2 linked regions of the Drosophila melanogaster genome follow. The protein of the gene in region 1 interacts with the protein of each later gene in a pairwise test. Each region holds a gene or a part of one and is shown on either strand. Other genes may lie near its edges.

The links. The genes of interacting proteins can lie anywhere in the genome.
Region 2: the proteins of CG13045 (region 1) and CG13731 interact in a two-hybrid assay, tested with the Drosophila melanogaster proteins (one large-scale study listed by BioGRID).

What each region holds. Positions count from the first base shown.
Region 1 is NT_037436.4:16,289,294-16,293,049, reverse strand, and holds CG13045 (uncharacterized protein), read left to right. Parts: upstream 1-2,099; 5' UTR 2,100-2,174; intron 2,175-2,231; 5' UTR 2,232-2,252; coding exon 2,253-2,816; 3' UTR 2,817-3,338; downstream 3,339-3,756.
Region 2 is NT_037436.4:17,387,347-17,391,102, reverse strand, and holds the start of CG13731 (uncharacterized protein), read left to right. Parts: upstream 1-2,146; 5' UTR 2,147-2,355; coding exon 2,356-2,358; intron 2,359-3,756.

The sequences.
Region 1 (3,756 bases):
CTCTCTCTCTGCTGGCAAGTTACGATTCCAAGCATGGATAATTAATTTCAAAGGGCCAAGCTCCTTTCCGGGAAACTTATTCCTGGCCGCAGGACAGGCACGTACTGGGGAAAAGGGAACTACACACGTTTTCCGCTGACCTTGCCCAGGACATTGACCAGCTGCAAGCAAAATCATCCGCACACCCACACGCCAGCATCGCCAGCAGTAACTCGATTGTTATTTGTGAAATGGATTTGCAACCGATAATTAAATGCAGCTCTGACCTTGGAAGTCCTTGCACCGAGTTCAACGACTGACCTCACTGCGTATAAGCAAGAAGGAGCTTTATCGCATTGTATAAATAATATGGTGGGGCAACATTGAAATTCAAATGAAATTGCGATTGAAGGAAAGCGTGTACATATTCAAAATTGATGAGCGAAAATAATTTTATGATTTGGTATACATTCAACGGTTTCCTCGAAACGAAAAACCATTTGAATAATATTTGTAGCATATCTTCCAGCTAACAGGTTGTGTGCAATCAATTGAGTGAATCAAATCAGCTGAAACTTCAATAGCTTGCAACAAAGTATTATTTTGGTGGTGGATGGGGGATACAAATTCGCACTTGTTGTTGCCAAACACGTGCAGCGATTTAGCACGCATTACATTACAATGCGGCTCCGTTTCAAGAGCACCTGTTGCCAGCGGCGGCGGAAAATGTGTGGAAAATTTGTATGGAAAATGGGGGAAAACGCGAAGCAACCACTCGAGGAGTAGAATCAGCTCAAAAGCTGGGCGTGTGCTCCACTTGGAACACAAAAGGAAAACAAAAAGAAAAACGTGCGTGGAAATTCCCGCTATCTGTGCCCCCTTTTTCGGTTCAGCGAAGGTGAACATATCGATTTCTGATTTAGCCACTTTGTTATGCTAATTTCCCCGGCTTTCCCGTCCTCGATTTTCCTCTGTTATTCTTTTTTTTCAGCGTCCTGCTCCTGTGTTGACAATTTCGATGAGCGCGTGTCGCGCATTTGGCAACCCAAATTTAATTGGCAACCCGTGCGGGAATTTCGCCTGTTTACGACAGATTCTGGACCAGATTTTATGGTAGCAATTCCATGCACACGTTTGCCCACTTTTGGGCGACTTGGAGGCGATGCACAAGACGCGGCCAACTTTTGGGCTTTTCCACGGCTAATTGAGAGCAACGAAAATGGCTTTGTTGGCGGCGGTAATAAATCGACTTTTAACTGGCGTGTGATATTTTGGCATTTATATTTCGGCAACGGCCATCAATCAGAGTCATAAGGCATAAAAAGGTGCCTGGAACGTGATCGCAATGGGTTTCTTGCAGCTCTTGCCACTTGCTTGCTTTTTTTTTTTTTGTCTTATATTTTATACTTTTTTGCAGCTGGTGGCGGCGGCAGTAAAAGTTGCTGCAGTGTAGCGCGTGCATTCGTAAATGTGATCCATGGCTTTGGGCGAATGAAGTGCACATGATAATGGCTTCTGAGGTGGAAGAGTTTAAGATGTTGATCCGAAGAGAGGGGTGTGTTAAGGTGCATATCTTATATCTGAGGAATTTATTTAGAAGATGTCTGAAATAATACATATGCTTATTAATTTTAACACCATCTATCCGACTACAGCAATTCTGAATTGGAATCTAATAAAAAATAAGATTGGATAGGTTGACTTCTTGACTTCAAACGGAGTCACAAAAGCATTCACATCTTTACTTTACTGATTCGGAGTTCTTAAACTGTTAACAATTTTTTTTTTTTCGGTAAAGTGTGAAGTTATACCTTCCACCTTAATTACCTCATTTGAAGTTTTGACCACCGACTTGTGGTTCGTACTTCCACCGAATTTCGCCTGCGGATGGGGCATTGCAAAACTTGTCGCATGCATTTGCCGCACGATTCGCTTGTCGATTGCACGTCGTGCGCAGATCCCTTAATGGAGTTTTTACCTTTCGGCTCCTCTAGTTTCCAGACCCCTCCTCCACTCCTCCTCCACCTACTCCTCCACCCACTAAATCAGCATAACTCGGATCGTGGTATATATAAACCTGCAATGGTCAGCCAAAATCGATTCATTTCGTGTGAAAGTGTCGCGGAGAAGTGACTTAATACGGAAATCGAAAACGGAAGAAAGCATAACGGGTGAAAATGTTAAATATTTCAAAAGCAAGTGAATCGAAAGTGACTTTTAACTGAAAAATAATAGTTTATCTTTATATATAGATACCTTTGATATGTGTTCTGATGTGTTTTGGTGCTCCAGCGCTTGGAAGTTTCCATCATGAACCATCGACGGTGGGCGTTCCCGTGGGAGTTCCAGTCCCAGTGCCAGTTCCTGTGCCTTCTCCATATCCGGTTCCATCTCCAGTGGCGGTACCTGCTCCAGTAGCAGTACCCGTTTCCGATACCGTCACCGTGCCAGCGGCCTTTAGTGCCCATCAAGGATTTGCGTACGGAGCTGTCGATCACTATGGTCCACCACCTCCGGCGATCTTTAAATATGCTACAACCTATGCGGCACCACAGCCAGTTATTAAGTACTCCCTTGGAGCTCCAGTGACCACTACCACCACCACCTACACCGGATTTGCAGCACCACCACCACCAGCCGTTCATTATGCTGCAGCAGCTCCACCACCACCACAGTTCATAGCCCGGTTTGCTCCTCCACCCACTGGCTATCAGTTTGCAGCTGCTGCCCCGTCATATGGCAGGTACAAGCTCCACTTTGGGTCACCACCTCATCATTCTCCGGCCGCCGTTTATGGAGCTCCCCCTCCTGTAGCATTTAGCACTCAGGGCTGGTAACTCGAGAAGCGCCAGCTGGGCTCTGGCTCATCATGCATAACTATGAATGATAATTTCCTCAAATTAGCAATTAATTAAATCTAAATAATGTTGTTATGTTTCGTATTATACGCGACTGGTGAATTTATGCGAAGAACGCGAAGCGTAGCGATTAAATTATGCTTATGTCAATACCCATAAATAATTCAGATGTTTTCATGGCTCGAAGTTATTTTTTGGCTCAGCCAATTTTGGCCAAAGGCGAGGCTTGACTTTGAGAGGGCCCAGAAAAATGAATAAATAATATAAATTTGCCGCTATTAAAGCTATGACTACGGATCAACTGACCTAAGTCAATGAATGAAAGAGGGAAATAGCGGAGCCATCCGTCAATTGGGTCAACAGTTTAAACTTTAAAGAGCCTTTGAGTTCACAGATAGACAGCTTGATTACACTACAAATATTGTTATTAAACAAATAAATCAAGTAAATTGTGTATTTCCGTATTTAAGTTTGAATACTAATATATTTGGGTGGCGGCTTAACATTTAGATTTAATGTTTAAGAAGACAGAACTGTATTTGTCCACTTTTTGGATATTAATTGGATCTTGTTATCTTGAATTAGAATACATAAGTATTTTCTTAGATACCTACATCTATAAGTCAATAAATCAAGCTATTACACTATAAACAGCACATTAGCTAAATTACTAGAAGTACAAGAACGCTATAGTCGAGTTCTTCGACTATAAGATACCCACTACTCATCTAGTGGGCGAACGAAATAGAAATTTTAACATTTTCTGTTGGCAAATCAATGTTAGTAAAATGAAAAAAAAAAAATGAATAAGTAAGTTTCTGGGTGTAATATTAAATTAATATATCTGAATTTTAAATAAAAACAGGAAAAGTTCCTCCCTTTTCTTTCAGTGTAAACCTCATTCGGATCCGCATTTATT
Region 2 (3,756 bases), 1.1 Mb from region 1:
TAGCCGATTTGCGGTTGAGTTTTTCGAGTTGCTGGCCAAGAGACTTGATTTCAATTTTAATGGCCGGTGCGTGAGGGTATTTAATTTGCTCTAGGATTAGATAAGTAATATTAATTGTCTACCTGAATGGGTACACGTCTTTAAAAACAAGCGTCGAGGCATTTAAGAATACAATTAATCTACTCAGCAGTTTCAACATGATTTATATAATATTTAATTGTGTTACAAAAAATTTGCATCTGCAGAATATGGTTCTTTGTGACGATTTTTTTTTTTGTATTTACCAGAAAAAGAGTGTAGTTAGTTTTATGATTTAAGATTTGTTTATCTCGCTTCTCGTTTTGTTTTTGATGACTAAAAATCCCATTTATACAAAATAATGTTCGGAAATAGCGCCAAGACAAGATCTCCATTCTGATAAAACATAATGAAAAACTAGATATTATGATTTCCGCGCCCGAAGACAAAGGCTCATAACAATTCACATACGAGCTCTGAAACTTCCCTAGATTAACAAATATATTTTTAAATTATCCAAATAGCAACCTGTCTAGAATGCGGTTTAGAACAGGCTCAAGCGACGGTCTTGTTTGATTCGAAAACCGCTAACGTCCTTCAGTGGAGTCCAAAATTTGAGGCAGCAAATTATCAGACACTCGGTATGGAAGTTGAATAATCGTCTGTTGCAATGTCGGATGAGGTGACAAAAAAAGGCTTTTCCTCTAGCCGGCAGTCAAGAAGCATTCGATGAGCCAAAAACTAAAAAAGAAAAAAATAATAAAAACAATTCAGTCGCTTCAGTTATCCGCAATGACAAATTTGAAATGTCAGCAGTCGCCGCCAAGTGTCATTGCCTTTGTGAAGATGTGCGAAGCAAGTTATGACCCGAATAAGTTAGCCAGCAATTATGTAATAAAAGACAAGAATTAATGTGGCTCTAAGTGGCGTCTGATGGCCGCAGGGGTGACTTCCGTTCGGCTGCACTTCCTCTGGGTGTTGTTCCGCCGTTTTATCTAGACCCTGACTACCCAGTGACCACGCACCTTTGGGCCGAAAGAGTTCAAAGTCACATCTATTTTGGGCCCGCTCATGACTGCGCGTGGCCAGTGGGTGTCACTCTGATTGGTTCATTAAAATCAAGACGTGACTGCTTGCGAATAAATAAATTCTAGTTATTAAACTGGCGAAATGCAGGCGATGACAAATGCCGAAACCCGTTTGGGAGTCGCTCGAAGAATGCAGCACTGAACACCGATCACCGATCACCGATCATCGAGATCTTCGAGTGTGCGTTTAAAGGTCACTCGGCTGACACGGAGTCAGAGATGAGCTGAGCCGAGCTGAGCCTACCTTAACATTCAACTCCGGCTGCCATCTGCTGACCCCCGGGCACACGCATTTTTGGCCAAGTCAACCGGTTCATGTTCAATTGGCCGACTCCAACTCCAACATCGACTCGCAACTCCAACTGCATTTAGGCCTGATCCGAGGGGTAAGTGCCATTAGCCAACGCCTGATCTTCTCGGCCTTATTTGCCTTGGCAAGCTTCGTTGGGAGCCTTGACTTGGCTCTCGATCGTCGAGCCAGCTTCGGCTTGTCTCATCGATTGATGAAATTCGGTGGCTCGGACCCATTTACCAAATTAAATGCTGCACGACAACGTGTTTAACACTCGCCGCAGACTTCTGCCAAAAGTACGAGCATATTTGCCAGCCATCGGAGTTGGCTAAATAGAAATGCCAACAAGAGCAGGCGTTGGTGGATGGATGGTCGGATGGCCGGATGGTGCGTCTGGCTTAGTTGCTCTTCTGCCATAATTGCTGGGCCTTAATTTGGCTGCCTTTTTGTCTTAGCCATGTTATCTGGCTGTTAACTCACAAACATCAAACAACCGAGACTGGTTGGCTTTCTGGTCAGCATTCAGCTGTCGGCGTCGCTGTCGACGAAGGCTGAGGCATCAGCAGCGGCAGAGACTTCGTATTCGGCTCATCTTCATCTGGCCAAAACGCTTTCGATTTCGGCTTTTGGCCGTGTGTTAACAGCTGTCGCCCAGGTGAAGATGCCTCTGCCGACGCCGCTGCCCAAGTGGGCAGATGCTGGGTCCGAGTATATATAGAAAATCTACAAGTTTTGATGCTTTAGTTGGTATTCCACACTCGACCTAGAAGTTAAACCAACTTAGCTTGGCATCGATCAAATTCAATCGTCCATTGAATTTGATACGATCGGTCGCGTCTTCTCCTTTCCGATCCTCACAGTACCGTCCGCAAGGATTATTCACGCACACCGCCTAGGATTACCTACGCACCCGGGATTACCGCAACTGCCGTTTGTAGCAGTCCGAAAGTGTACACCATGGTAACCGAACCCAGTTCCAATCCAATCTAAACCAAAACGAACAATGATCGTGTGCAAAGTGCAAAATAACGAAACAAGTGTCCCTCGGTGTGAAGACAAACAAGACAGACATTTCGCAAAGGAAAAGCAGTGCAGATGAAGATAAAAAGTATCAGTTTTGTTGGTCCAAAATATTTAGGGAGTTTCCACGTTTTATAGTTTGGGCTTGTGACAGTACAGAAAATAATTGAACGAATACGAATTTTCAATGATATTTGTATTCAAACTTTAATTTTAAATTAAAACATTTCTTGTGTTAAAATAATGTGTCAGCTATTTAGCGCTAGATCTTCAGAAATTTATTAATCCGAACTTGTATAAAAGGATACTAAAAAAGCATGTTCTACAATTTTATAGGGATACAATCATAAAAAAGGGTTATAAGATAAGATAGGGCCTTTAAGTTCATTCAAAATCATTCCGATTTTTCTCTGTGCATACCCAAGCATCGCAAACAAGAAGAAATAGCAAATAAATTGCCAACACCGACTGCAGTTCCAATTCAATCGCCATCTATTTGCATTTCACATTTTGTCGAGGGTCCAGCTCTGGACCCGGGCTATCATCGCGAGTTAAGAGTTGACCAGATGGCGGTTGACATTTAAGCCATGTAGAAATTGAGCAAGTGGCATCGAGTGCAATGTTACGCATACGCCGTGTTGGCCGCCCACAGAGCAAATCGCCTTGGCGCGATCCGCAATTTGCGTATTAAGTCATTAGGATGGACCAGCTGCATGTGCATTCTGCCATGTGGCGGCAGTTTCTATGTCAGCATTGACATGGCTGAAGATGAAATTAAAACTTGTTTTTTTTTCCATAATTTTCGCTTTTGCTTCTGACATTTGCTAGTCGCAATTTGCGATTGGCGTATTTAGGTAAATAGCCATAAAAACGTTGCCTTAAGTTAGATTCTTGACGTTGCCATTGAATAGACGTCCATTAATCACCATCATTGTTGCCAAAGAAGATTTCATTTGTTAAAGGGCCGACTGATCTTTTCCCCAGACTTTAATTCACCCAAATCTCTCACAGTTTCGGAAAAATAAAGTTGCCCCAAAAGTCTTGGCATTGGGGCTCTGCCCTCGAGGCGGTGTGAATCAGATTAATTAGCTGCCAATTAGCTCACTGAACAGTCGAGGGAATCGGTTTGCCCCTGCAAATATCTCTCCAAGTCCTTTCACTTTCTAACCTTTAAGCACCACCCGCCATAAGTCAAACCCGATTTGGTTCTCGATATCCTCAGCTCAATTGTGGCTGATATTTAAAACAAGTTAGAACAGCAAAAATTTTAGGTTCATTAGCATAAATTATTTAAAATCATTTACATACAAAGATCAAATATTTTTGAAATTAGCAAAC